Stegostoma tigrinum: one gene and its partner. The main gene of each other region encodes a partner of the protein of the gene in region 2 in a complex. Links are inferred from orthologs where the notes say so. Each region holds a gene or a part of one and is shown on either strand. Other genes may lie near its edges.

Region 1 (6,977 bases), on a different chromosome or scaffold from region 2:
ATGGGATTAAATTTAACAGTGGTCATTTAACACCAGATGTAGCATGTGGAACCAAAGGAAATGTATCTCATTTCTCAACCAGATATTGAGGGAATGGAGTAGTTTGTAAATACGAAACACAACCATAAAACACTGAAACCCTGGAAAGATGAAACAAGATTTGACCCTGCCCGATCTCCGCTAGAATCTTTTCCTGTCCCGGTGAGATCACTGTGCTGTGCATTTCCAGGTTCTTCGTCTGTATAAATACACCTGACTTCTTGCCATTCCTGCTTTGAACGATTTGTTTTTATTTATTTTTAATATATTCCAAGAATTTTGATCTTTGTCATTTGACAATGGGCTCATGTGAAAAGGTGCCCTTGGTTAAGCAGGTGGAATAGATTGACAATACTCTACAAACAAACCAGTTTAGCCAGCAACACTACATTACAAATACACCTTACCGAATGACCGCCTGCCCATTAAGCCAAAGAACTGCTCGGGTCGTGGTTTCCGGGCCACACGCTTCAGGAGCTCCCGAAAGGAATCCGGCTGCAGTCGTTTGTTCTGAAAACAGATCAAAGCAGGGGAGAAAATAATGCACAATTACCCAACTTTTCCTCCGCGATATGGCTCTATCTGTGTCCCAGTCTGTTACTGTTAATGTGGTATGTCAGGAGGCCAGGTTAGTGTGTGTGTTTTTTTAAATGCATTCTCATCACGTTACTTTTCTAAAGATCGCAAAAGACAAATTGAGGCAGCAATCCCGAGCCGAATCTCTGCCGCTGTTTCTTGCAGTTTGTTTCTCCATGTTTTCTCTGCATGGATGTTGCAGTTGGGATGTGACGAGCCGTGTTGCTGAGTTACCAACCCGCTCCGGGCTGGGCTATTTTTTATTCAGCTCAATTTCTGGCACTGCATCGGGCAACAGGTACAGTAAACTCAGCGCACCATTGCTGAAATAAGTTATAATTAGATAGGGGATAATTAGGGTCCAAACTTATATAGGGTACAGCGTATGCATTCACGCTAGCCAGCCACCCCGCGAGAGCTCCACCCATCGAACTGGATGCACGACTTCGCCTTTACTTGGCCAGATACCATGCACAGGCACCAGATTTGTATTGGGAAAAATGTATTCAAACGCTGTAGTTTTACAACTAGCGTTTCCAATTACTGAATAGCAATGTTCACAAATATCTGTTGATTGCTAAATAACGATCCACTGTTGAATATTTATAAATACAAACCTTTCTAATAGCCCGGGCTATCTGCATAATTTAGAATAAAAGGGGTGATTTGAGATGAAATGTCAACTATCGTTAACATAATTGGGAACTAATTGGAACTTAATACTAATCTCCTTTCACGCGCACAGGAATTTGATTCAAAATAAAAAAAAACGGAAGAAATGCAGATGCCGTAAATCAGGAACAAAAACAGAAGTCTGGCAGCCTTTGTGAATGAAAAAAAGTTAACGTTTCAGGTCGTGAGACCATTCCTCAGTTCTGGCAGTTCTGAGGAAGGGCCACCGGACCCGAAACGTTAACTGTGATTTTTTTTCTTCACAAATGTTGCCAGACCTGCTGAGCTTTTCCAGCAACTTCTTTTTTTGTTCAGTAAATTGATTCAATCAGGTTTATATATAATTCAGTTTGATTGCATAGATTTAACTACAGCTCATTTCAGTCAAAAGATGTCTCATTACATTCTCCATTCGTTTGCTGAACCACTCCTGGCAGGGGCCCTCCTATTGCGTTTTCTGTAACTGACAAGTTTTTGTCTATTGAAGAGGATTTATAATGCCATAGCAACTCATTATTGATATCGCAGCATCTGTCTCGCTGTCTAATTAATATTTTCACTTAGTATTCGAAAACTTGAGAATGCAGCAACTCCTCGCCCCCGGGTATATTCAAAGCCGGAGCTGGCTAACTTTGACCTAGAGTCACCGACGATTCTCTAACAGTGAGCTGAGACCTTGTGAGTGACAAGTTTTTAGCCAGAATTATTCTTGTTGTAACTTTCCTCTCTTTCCTCCTGCATTCCACATGCCTCCTGTCAGTGGCGGGAGTCCCACCGAGTGATACGCCAGGAAACATCAGACCGGTCCACAAGCAAAAAAGGTTCCTGGTACCTATTCCAACATGTAACAGCACAGCGCGCTGTGAGGGAGACCAACTGCGGGTTGCCAATTGTTGCTGATTGCGCATTCGGACACTATTGTAACATTTAGTTGTGTCCATAACTGACTTTCCACACCAAAAAAAATCAGCTAGAAACTCATTCATACAGGAAACGTATCTAACTCATCGTCCTCTTATCCATACGTTACTGAACAGATGCCCACTGGTTTTTCACGGCAATACATGCCATTATTTCCGACACATTCCTGAAGATGGGAGTAAGCCATGTGGAACCAAAAAAGTACTTCGATGTTGCCCTATTGGTAATCACTATCGGCCCCTACCCTTTAAGTTTGTGGAATGGCGAGGCACAGGGAAAACGCAAACTGAGTAAAATTAAATTTCAACGCTTATATCATGTAGTTGTAAATTGTACATTAATTGAAACATTACCTGGCCGTGGTCGCTTTCGTCCCATAGAGAAACGCCTTCATTCCGGGAAACCTCTTCGCAAAAGACATCTGTCAAAACCAGGAGGCTGACTGTCACTGCGATCAGCCGGAGAGTTCTCATCCTGGGACAGGGTAGGGCTGTTGACCGCTCAGGCTCTGGCAGTGGGAGCTGCGGAAGACCGTGCGCAGCAAGTGGTCGCTATTGAAGAGGCTGCGCTCTCTCTTTGCCTGTGCTGGAGGATGGATGCTCACTACCTGGTCCAATTCGTGTTTTTCCGCCCGATCCCGGAAATTCCCGAGCTCACTGGCTCCTTTGTTGATCCGCTCCAATTATTTGCCAACTGCACCGGCAGAATCAACTGCTCTTGCTGTATCTTGCAGAGTCGTCTCCCAAGTGGAGTTTGAATGGCTCAGATTCCGGATCTCAAGGCTGGTATGCGAATGAAAATCCCGTTGAATTCCTTGCAATTTATACCCAGCACCAGGGGGGTCATTAGAGCGCAGGTACGTTACAGATCCAAAAATAGCGCTCCAGGAATTCGAAGGTGAATGAATCTTGCCTCCGTTTGACAAATTGAATTAGAAGATCGATATTGAAGTGCAGAAATGTCAAGATGTGTATTCCTGTCCTTTGTTTGCTTCAGTCATTTCCCAGATATGAGCAACGCTGTGAATGAGTGTTCAAACCGACGTCAATACTTAGGTTTAATATATCTTTTTCACCTAATGGCTACCCCGGAGTCAATATTTTGATTCAGTTTTTAATCATTTGTAATCCGATTGTGGAAAGAAAGGACCTTCTCTGAATACAGATAAGATACTTCAAATCGGCTCAAATTGAACAATGCAATTTACTTTAAACTGATAGGAAATGCCCTCAATTTGGTTTGTTCAGACAAAGCTATGCCTTTTGAGGATGTAATTTATTTGGAAGTTAAGCAAAGAAGAACAGTAACTGTAACTTAAATTATTTTTATGTTTTATGGTCAATTAAATGGCTAGAATTTAAGATTAGGAAACCATTTACACATCATCTATCCATACAGGCGCAAATGTCACACATAATTTACATTTATAAGTGAGCGTTTTACTGCAACTGTATTGAATTTATTCAAATCATTTGCCGTGGGAAGTTTTCTCTCTGCAACTATTTCGTAGTTGAGCAAAATGCAAACATCAGTTCAGACCTTAAACTAGGCTATTCCTGCACTTTACGTAAGTATTTTACATGATATTTTAGCCTTTTTGAAGATGATTCTAAAATGTAATATCAGAGGAAATATTTGTAGCAACTTCGCTTCAGCCAACAAATCTGAATATTCGCACTCATTGTCGAAATTTGAAAGGTAAGAAAAAATTACAATGTCAAAGTCAGGTAATGTGTGAGATGCAAGATCTTTAATGGGGGGGTGGGGGGTATTATCCAACGTGATATCCATGGCGTAAATTCCACCAGTTCTTTAGTCATTTCAAGATTTAATTTCCTCTTTATGGTGGAAGGAAAGATAAACAATAAACTCTACACATGTAATTAGTTAATTTATAACAAAATGTATCTGCAAATTCAGAGTAAAACAGAAGCAAATAAATGTTAATTCATGATATTTAGGAACTTTTTTTAAAAATAGAAAAGGTTATTTTTGTGAGAGATAATGGGAACTGCAGATGCTGGAGAATTCCAAGATAAAATGTGAGGCTGGATGAACACAGCAGGCCAAGCAGCATCTCACTGATGAAGGGTCTAGACCGAAACGTCAGCTTTTGTGCTCCTGAGAGGCTGCTTGGCCTGCTGTGTTCATCCAGCCTCACATTTTATCAAGGTTATTTTTGAATCCTTTTACAAAACCAGCAGGACCTTTAAGCCTATTTCAGAACTCTTCAGGCTTATATTTCCGGCTGCACGACTGACTCCATTTCATCTAATAAATCCCACAGTTAAATGTTGACAGTTACCGCTACTTGCATGTACCACATTGGAGTTTTGTCAAGTTTTAGTTAGAAAAATACGAGCAAGGTTTTTCAAAAGAGATCTCAAATCTCGGTTGGTGAGGATTAAAATCGTTCCAAATAACTGCAACATATGTTTGTGCAGCACCTTTCTCACGACATGACATTTCAAAATGCCTCACAAGAAAGCTATGAAACCGAAATTAAAATCCAAGCGATATTAAGAAGTAGGACAAATTACTGAAAACGTCTTTGAAGAGCTAAAGCTTAAAGGTGCAGGAAAAGCCAAAGAGGTTGAGAGAGGAAATTCCAAATTTTAAGAATTGAATAACTCATTGAGAAGTATGAATTGGAAGCAGGCGTAGCCATTCGGGCCATCGAGCTTGTCCTGCCAGTCAAGGAGATCATGTCGAAGATTACACCGAAGGGTTGCAGACGCTGGAGAGGGCGACATGGGATGAGAATATTAAAACCCAGGCTTTGGAATTGGAATCCACGGGAATTCTCAGCCAGCACTCGGTTGAACGCTTGTTATGCTTTAACATGTACTTCCATGGATGCAGTTGAAGGTTTGAGAAGAAAACTGACTTGGAACTCAATGTAGTCATGGAGACTTCAATCTCCTGCAAACAGGCGGATTTATATTCTCAACACTAAGACGTTAATTAAGTAGCATAAGAATTCTCGTAAAGTCAATGCTTAGCAATATTTAACTTCGTCCGTGAGAACCCCTCTGACGTAGATAAGTTTTAAAATGTGCTTTTTCATAACTACCAATCTAAGTACTTATTTCATCTAGTCAGTACATTGGAATTCCCCTACCCAGGGGAGGGATCTGAAGATGTGTGGTTTCAGGAATACACCACTCCCCTGACAACGCTTAAACTGTGTTTTCAGAACAGGAACATCTGCACACTTAAAACCTTTAGAAAAGCGCAGGAGATCCAAAGAGCTTGGGAAGTGTTTTTAGGTCAGCCCTCATTGCTCTGCAATCATAAGGGTAAATCCCGCTATTTCGAACTCTGACCGCGGGAGAGAGAACGGGATTGGGTCTACCCGAACAATAATTTTCCAGCTAGTCTAGCAGCATCTGTAGAGAGAAAGCAGAGCTAACGACTTCGAGTCCGGTGATCCTTGTTTCAGAAAGTCTTCAGGACTTCAGGACGGTAACCAGATTCGACACATTAACTCTGCTTTCTCTCTACAGATGCTACCAGACCTGTTGAGATTCTCCGATAATATCCCTTTGTTTCTGATCCTCAGCATTCGCAGCATTTTTATTTGCATATCATTTTGCACCTTCCCGACAATGTGAATCCTGTAGGCCTGGAGAGCTACAATCTATACCTATACCCTTGTTCACACCAGAGGATATTCACGCCTTTTTGGGGTCATATATCTGTTTTTGTTTAGAATGCGCGCTGAATTCTAGATAAGCTCCAAACTCAGAGGGGCGAACGGGAAAGTATGACTTTGGATTTAGAGCCGACCTGACTATGGGGAGAAGTATCAGATTTGACCACATTCAGCTCTACCACCTCTTCTTCTCGTCCCTACAACTCTTCCATTGTTTCTAAGACTGGCACCCAGTATTGAGAGGGCAGAAATGTCCCCCAACTACGTGTCGAGGCGACTAAAGCCGTTGCCTTCAATCTTGCTGCACACCCCCTTTCCTTAGCTACCAACCTCGCTCTCCCTGACAACGCGGAGCGTAAATGAGACAACTCAGAACCCTGTTGTCAAGTTTGACAGAAATGAGCCTCCAACCACATATCTGTGCCATCAGGAAGATTGTCTATTTCCATTTCTGTGTCATTGTCCGATTTCATCCTTCCCCACTGCATCTGCTACTGAAATCTCCACCCGTGCCTTCATTGCCCCCGGAGAAATACACTCTCAGTCAGTTTCCCACATCCTATTTCCATAAAATTACGGTCATACATATCCGTGCTGTCTAATTCGCGCGAAATCCTGCTCACCCCTTAGACACTACACTGACTGATGCACATTGGCTCCAAGTAAAGCAACTTCTTTTAAAATTCCTCTCAAAATACTGTCACGCCCCATCTCTAATTCCCTCCAGCCCTGCAACTTGTTGAGGTAACCGGATTCTCTCGTTCTGTTCTATTGAAACTCTTCAATTATAATTACTGCCCCAGTATGGCTGTGCCGTCAGCTGTGTGGAGAAACTCTGAACTTCCTTTATGAAACCACTTTTACCTCTGTCTCCTAGAAAGACGCTCCCCATCTCCCTCTTTCACCGAGCTTTAATCATATGCTCCAACCTTAGTCTGTTACACTTGCCAATGTTTGTGCCTGTTTTCATGTAAATGACGGGCCTTTGGACGTTTTAACGTTTTAACGCGAGTATAAATAAACAATTGTTCTTTCTCTTTCTCCAAATGCCGCCAGACATGCTGAGTTTTGCCTGCTAGGCACATTCTTCAGCATCCTCAGTATTTTGCTTTCC
Region 2 (7,613 bases):
TAGTTTATATCTTTGAAAGCTTAAAAGCTCCACCAATGGAGATTTAGGAGTGTTAAGAGGCGAGAGAAGCGCCAAACCGCAATGCTTGTGTGACATTGGTCCTCAGCTGAAAGATGTTGTCCAGTTGTCATCTCTCATAATTGTTTGCTGGCACTCCTACAATCTTTCTGAAAAGCAAGGACATGTCACACTGCCCCATCTTGGAGTTAAATGCTTCGTCTATAAAGAACAGCGTGAAAAAGTCTTGCCCTATGTGTTAAATATGTGTCTAACGACAGAACTCGAAAAGGCCTAACAAACCGTCGCGTCTGTCCAGGCCTTTCCGTTCAAACTTCAAAGAGGATGAAAATAAACGAACAAGCCATACTGAGTCAGTCTGGCAGAATTGTCATCGCAACATGACAAATTTCTATAGATCATAAGCCAAACATAAACCAAATCATAAAACATCTCGCCTGGTGCCTCTACCTCAAGGATGGCGCTGGCAAACAGCGCAGGGGCCAAACCAGTAACAAGTGTGTGAACGTTTTCGAGCGAAATTGCACCGTCCCTCGTTTTAAGATGATTGATTCCAACAACCGAGCATTTATTTTCTTAAAATTAAAGGCATATTTCACAAATTCTCACTCAGCACTGGCACCCTTCTTGTGAAAATGGCTGATAGCATTCTCAGCTCTGACCTGTCCCAAGAGTTGAACCCCAATCTCTGTCCGCTGGACACTGTGCTTCGGCTTTCCTTGTTCTTACGTGTTCAGTGTTTAGAATTGGAGACAAACTTGCTGGCGAGCCTGTGTGCAAATTCGTGTGTGCAAGAGAGAGAAAGAGCCCTGTTTGCCTGTGAGCGGGGAGAAATGGAAGGCTGTTCGTGGGAGACGGCAGGTTGAAACAAAGGATTGAGTCAGGAGCTGTGTCTTGTCTTATCACGAGCTCGGCGCACTGCTGCCCAGCTCTGGGTTAGTGCTAATCGTACCGGAGTCACGGAGAGAGGAAAACGGACAGCGGTGGCGCCTGAGAGCTCTGAGGCACAGTTAGGCTCAGCACTTTATGGGAGACAGCGGATTAGAAGCGGGATGAAATTGCATCTCGGCCACCGGGTGCTTCAGTTCACGGGCTCCGTGCGGCAATGGTTGAAGAGGAGACGCCGAAATTGCTAATTCGCCTCCAACCGATGAGATTCAATAGCGAGACTGCAGCTCCAGGCGAGGAACTTGCGCCTTTCTGAGATAGGAGGCTTGGTCCGGACACTTCAGCAGATAATCACACCGTACCGAACAGGCCGTTTGGCCCATCAAGCCTGCACCATCAAGATCTAAATCGATACGAGCCTCAATTGAGATTAACCTCTCTGCAGCCGGGACCGAGTATGTAGAGAGAGAGAGCTGGATGGCGAGCCACAGGGGTACAGAGAGGCAGAGACAGCGTTAAAAGGTTTCAAGAGAGGAAGACAGCGATGCCAGAGGGCGGGAGAGGCGTAGAAATGTTTCAGAGTCATACAGCACGGAAACAGACCCTTCGGTCCAACCAGTCCACGACGATCATGAGCTTAAGCTGAACTGGTCGCACCTGCCTGCGCTTGACCGCGATCCCTCCAAACATTTCCTACTCATGTACTTATCCCCATGCAACCCCCCGCCCCCCCCATGTCTTTTTTCAATCTTTCTCCTCTCACCTTAAAAATATGCCCCTAGTCTTGAAATCCTCACCGCAGGAAAAAAAAACACCTACTATTCACCTCTGTAGCCAATACTGAGTGGAGCTAGAGAAACACAATAGGTCAGGCAGCATCAGATGAGCAGGAAAGTCGAAAGTCGATGTTTCGGGTTTACACGCTTCATCAGGACTGGGCAAGTACTGTTCCTAGTGCTGATGAAGGGTATATGACGAACATCGACTTTCCTGCTCCTCTGATGCTGCATTACTGTTGTATTCCTCCAGCTCCACATCGTATCGGCTCTGACTCCGATATCTGCGATTCTTGCGATCTCCATTCACCTATCTATACCGCTCAAGGTTTCATAAACCTCTGTAAGGTCACCCCTCAACCTCCTACGCTCCAGTGAGAAAAGTCCCAGCCTCTCCTGAGAACATGATGGCACTATTCCAAAGTGAGCCTTGGGTTAAGGCGGTGAAAAGCTCACCTGTCCAGGGCGATAGCAGTCATTGAGTAGATGCTGGCGAACATGGCAGTAATGGGGAAAAAGTTGTGGAAACGACAGTAGCCGAGGCCGAAGTACCACTCGTTGTGGATGCCGTAGACAAAGTTGATGACCGCATTGAAAGCAGCCACGGAGCACTCGGTGAAAGCCAGGTTGACCAAGAAATAGTTGGTTACTGTCCGCATCCTCTTGTGGGCCAGAATAATCCACATGACCACCAGGTTCCCGCACACTCCCACCGCCACAATAATGGAGTAGGCGAGCGCCCACAGGGCAATCTGCCACTCGGGCTGCAGGAATTTAGTGTCCATTTCCTCGGTCTGGTTCCCTGGCTCAGAGTCATTGCCTTGCCACGCGGTCAGCTCCATGGTGAGAGAGCACTGCAAGTCACCGTTTCTTCCGTCAGATCTTGCTCACTCCAGAAGCTCGCTGCATGTCACAGAGAGACGCTCAGACAGGCAGACACAATGTGGCCCATCTCTTCCCCCACGTTTCCTGGCCGCTTTTAGTCGTCAGCTTGCCGCTGAGGTCACTGAGTGAAACTCTGCAGAGTCATTCTTTTCCCTGAGTCGCAACTCTGCTGATTGTCAGTGTATGTGCGTGAGAGAGAGAGAGAGAGAGGGCGTTATGCCTAGGGCTCCAGCACACACGTGTTGACTCTGGCAGCCTGACAGACAAACACCGGGAAATAACAGAGGCTGGTCTCTTTAAAACACATTTGCACAGGAGACGTCAGTACCTCTGGGAGGGCAGGAACGAGAGGAAGACCACCCTTCATCCCTTGCCGGCTTGCATCTGCCCCACAAATGGCTTCCTAACCCGAAATTCTTCAGAAAGGGAGGCAAGAGAGGAACCTTTTTGGTGATTGCCTTAAAATGCCATTCAGCGAAATGTTTTGTCCTTTTGATGTATAGTCTATGATTAAACAACAAGTGACAGATTTGCATGCTCATTGTAGCTGTATCGCCACCTTCGATCTGAATGATTTATTAATCTCATTCCCAAGAGTGTCCAGTTAAAATGCGTTCAGCACTCAGCAGCTGCCCAGCTTTCTCGGCCAGCTCCTGGTTGCTTTGTTTCAGTTCTCACCGTCAAGTGTTCATATTGCAGCTTTCAATTGCCTCTCAGGGACACAGCTTTAGCATTCAATCCGTTCATGTCCTCCTCTCCGCATTGGGCTCTAAAGAATCCGAAAGAATTCTGCCTGGAGGCGCATTCCTGCAATTAACCAAAAGAGCAGCAAATGGCTCTGGGAGTCGAAACGTGTGCACGAGGGATTGAGAGACGGACAGAGAATGAGTCGTTTAGATGGTGAATTGTTGAACAGACAAGTCTGTATTCATTTATTTAGCTCTCAAAGCGAAGGATGAACACATCCAGTGTAAAGAATGGAATTATTTCACAACTAAATTCCGCCCAATAATTGGCAATATTAAACATTGTGTCGAAAACTAATCAGCCGCTCTGAGCGTTCTGAAGAATCTGGTCCCCTCCTCCTATCCTAGCCCATTCCAGTGTCCCCACAATAAGCTGGCAAAAAAATGTCTACCCTTCACTCGGTGAAAAGATAGCCTGTAATCTGATTCATCTCCTTCCAACTCTTCTAATCGTTTTCTTTGGTTCTTTGGGTAAAGATCTAAAATCATGCCCTGTGCTCATTGTTCAATTATTATGATCCAATTTTCAGAACTTTTCACTCATAGGAATGTGGAATTGTTAACTAGGTCAGCACCTACTGCCCGTCCCTGATTGCCCTGGAGAACGTGGTGGTGCCTACATGAACCAAAGCAGGCAATGCACTGTAGGTAGATCTACAGGGCTCTGAGGGAGGCAATTCTAGGACTTTGATCCAGCAACACTAAAAGAATGCCAATATATTTCCAAGTGAGAATGGTGAGTGGCTTGGAAGGGATGTTGCATGTGATGGTATTCCCACATTTCTGCTGCACTTTGTCCTTCTCAGTGGTTAAGGTTATGAGTTTGGAAGGTGCTGTTGGAGAATCCTTGGTGCACAGTAGTCTATATTAAAGATGGTTTACATTGCTGTACTGAACATCAGTGGTGGAGGAAATGAATGTTGAACGTGACAGGTTGAGTCCTGATCAAGAGGGCTGCTTTATCCTGGATGAATTCAAGCATCTTGAGTGTTGTTGGAGTTGCACCCATCTAGCCAAGTGGAGAGTGTTTCCACACACTTCTTATTTGTGTTTGATAAATGATGGAAGTGGGTATTAAGGAGACAGGAGCTGAATTATTCATTGCAGGATTCCTAACGTCTGAACTGCACATTGTAGCTACAATAGATATACTTCTTGTCAAATTCAGTTACTAGCCAATGGTAACACCAGAATGTTGATAGTGGGGATTTAGTAAAGGTAATGCCATTGAACAGCAAGGGGCATTGGTTATATTCTCTTTTGTTGGAGATTGACATTATCTGGCACTTGACTTATGCAATATTATTTGTCACTTATCAGTCTAGGTCTTGCTACATATAGCTGCTTCAGTATCTGAGGAGTTACAAATGGTGCTGAGCATTGTGCAATCATGAGCGGACATCCCCACTTCTGACTGTATGAAGGAGAGGAAGTCATTGATGAAGCAACCAAAGATGCTTGGGCCGAGGTTATTACCCTGAAGGACACCAGTAGAGGCATCCCTGAGCCGGGAAGACTGATGTGCAACAGCCGCACTCATCACCCATTGCATAATGCATGACTCCAAACCACAGAGTGGACTCCCCTATTGGCTTCAATTTTGCTCAGGCTCCTTGATGCCATGCTTGGTCAAATGCAGCCTGATGTCAAGGACATTAACTCTCACCTCACCTTTGTAGTTCAGTTCTTATTGTCAAGTTTAGACCAAAATCACAATGGCTTTAAGACATGTTTATGTACCATATAAATTTCCTCCAAACTTCCCTCCATTGATCAGAACCTGAACTCAGCCAACCCCAACAATATTGTGGTTCTGAGTTACCCTGAAGAGAAGAGGCCATCACACTTGAATGGAGTGCGATGATTCCAATGGTCAAAACCCAATGAAAATAAACCTTCTTGTGATGACTGGCTATCCAGGCAAGATGAACAACCAATTACTCATCCATCATTTGGGTCATCCCCAGGTATGCTACAAATATACACTGGCCATGTTTCTTGGTAATTGTCAAATTGTCAATCAGTTTAAAAAGAACCTCTAGGTTGTTAGACCCTTACATGACCTCAGGATGTTACAACCCACCATGTAGCCAACTAACTATATTTATTGAAGTGTCATTGATGTTATAGTGTAGGAAACCTGGCAGCCATTTTTTGCTTGGCATGCTCCCACATTCAGCAATGTGATAATGACAATGTAATCTGTTATTAGGTGAAAATTGAGGAATAAATATGGGGATGAACACCCTTCCACTTCCTTGAAATAGCATCAAGGAATCTTTTGTGTTCACACTCAAGAATAGATATGGTCTGATGCCAAAGGCAGTACCACTGACTCCAAAGTTTTCAGAAATTTCACATATTTTGTTAATTTCAGGATTGAAAGTCCAAAAGAAATTGTGTCTCATAAAATTTGTGGTTTTTCAGTCATCTTTTTCAGAACCCCAGCTGGCGACACTGTTTGACTGGACACATGTCTCTTGTTGTCTTCTGTTAATTGAAGTTCTCCTTGTGAACCAAATTAGCACTACTGACTAATCCTCGCTAGCCACAACCCATGTGTATGATGAGAGACATTCTGAACTCTAATTTGCTTGCCACGATCTGTACATGTGTTTCAGATGGTTCAGTAATGTATGCCAAATTTCTGATTGATTTCTTATAGAAGTGTTAGTCATTCTGACTTCCTACCACCTCCTATTTCATTTTTTTTGCAGCATGCTTGTCTGCATCAATCTTTTACATCTTACTGATGTAAAATGTAGTCATTTATGTGCCCACTTAGATGTACCTAGCTTCATCCCTAAGTAATTAAATAATGTCCCAAATGTCGCACATGAGTTCTGTCTAAGTAGTCTCCAAAATTTCAACGCCCAACAATACCTTTAATTCAGAGAACCATGTGTAACTCCATAACAACTGTTGATACCTTAAACAAATTAAAGCTCAAAACAACCTTTAAAAAAATCATATATATATAAGGCTTGTCATATATTTTAAGTTATGAAACAAACCCATTTGAGACATGGCTGTGTCTTTGAGTAAAAGCTTATAATTTAAAGGATTTTCACTTTAATTAGTCTAAATTTGAATTAGCATGAACTATTTAAACAAAAACACATTATTGTGATTTTGGCCTGTGCTATTTGACTTTTTTCCTTACCAAAAGTAATTTATAGTTATCGTGAGAAGACTGTGACCGGCAATGTGCTGCAAGGATCAATACTGGCTCCATTGTTTTTTGTCATTAATATAAATGATTTGGATGAAATTATAGGAGGTATGGTTAGTGAGTTTGCAGATGAAATCAAAATTGGTGGTGTATTGGACAGTGATGAAGGCCATTTCAGAGGACAACAGGACTTTGATCAGATGGGCCAATGGACCGAGGAGTGGCAGATAGAGTTCATTTTAGATAAATGTGAAGTGTTGTATTTTGATACGGCAAACCAGGGCAGAACATATACAGTTAATGGTAGGCTCCTGGGGAATGTTGCTGAAAAAATAGATGTGGGGTGCAGGTGCATAGTTCCTTGAAAGTGGACTCACATGTAGAAAGGGTAATGAAAAAGGTATTTGGCACATTTGCTTTTAATGGTAAGTGCATTGAGTATAGGAGCTGGAAAATCATGGTGTGGCTGTAGAGGACATTCGTGAGACCACTTTTAGAATACTGTGTATAATATTAAACTTGAGATGGTACATAAAAGATTTCTAAGGAGGTTGCCGAGGCTGGACGGTTTGAATTATAGGGAGATGCTGAATAGACTGGGACTTTTTTTTTCCCTACAGTGTTGGGGCTTAAGGGATCACCATATAGAGGACATGAATAGGTTGAATAGCCAAGGTCTTTTTCCTCAGGTGGGGAGTTCAGAACTAGAGGGCAGGTTTAAGGCCAGATGGAAAAGATTTAAATGGGACCTAAAGGTGGTCCATATATGGAATGAATTGACAGAGGAAGTGATGGAGGCTGGTACAATTATAACATTTAGAGGGCATCTGGATTGGTATATGAATAGGAAGGGTTTACTGAGATGTGGGCCAAATGTTGGCAAATGGGACTAGGTCAGATTGGGGCGTCGGATTGGTGTGGACATGTTGGAACAAAGAGTCTGTTTCTATGCTGTATAGTCTATGACAATGACAATGGTTTGCTCTCTGCTATACCATGGGACCCAGATCCAAACACACAATACCATGGTCAATATGTATGTTTGTTGATTGGACCTGCAATCTTCCTCAGACTCTGCTTTGCCACAAGCTTACCTGACACCCAACATTTTCTCCAGTGCCTGTTGCA

Evidence for each region.
Region 1: the proteins of substance-P receptor-like (region 2) and protachykinin-like are in contact, whole or in part, in a cryo-EM structure (PDB 7P02), measured with the Homo sapiens proteins. The link is inferred for Stegostoma tigrinum from reciprocal best matches to the Homo sapiens genes TACR1 and TAC1. Residues at the interface, in NP_001049.1 of Homo sapiens: Gln24, Phe25, Asn85, Asn89, Tyr92, Ala93, Asn96, Trp98, His108, Asn109, Ile113, Gln165, Met174, Arg177, Val179, Cys180, Met181, Ile182, His197, Val200, Phe264, Phe267, Phe268, Tyr278, Leu279, Ile283, Gln284, Tyr287, Met291; in NP_003173.1 of Homo sapiens: Lys60, Pro61, Gln62, Gln63, Phe64, Phe65, Gly66, Leu67, Met68.

Annotation. Positions count from the first base shown.
Region 1 is NC_081355.1:82,537,577-82,544,553, forward strand, and holds the start of protachykinin-like, read right to left. Parts: upstream 3,016-6,977; 5' UTR 2,682-3,015; coding exon 2,562-2,681; intron 550-2,561; coding exon 447-549; intron 1-446. UniProt on the Homo sapiens protein: Tachykinins are active peptides which excite neurons, evoke behavioral responses, are potent vasodilators and secretagogues, and contract (directly or indirectly) many smooth muscles.
Region 2 is NC_081393.1:13,701,839-13,709,451, forward strand, and holds the start of substance-P receptor-like, read right to left. Parts: upstream 3,001-7,613; 5' UTR 2,525-3,000; coding exon 2,139-2,524; intron 1-2,138. UniProt on the Homo sapiens protein: This is a receptor for the tachykinin neuropeptide substance P. It is probably associated with G proteins that activate a phosphatidylinositol-calcium second messenger system.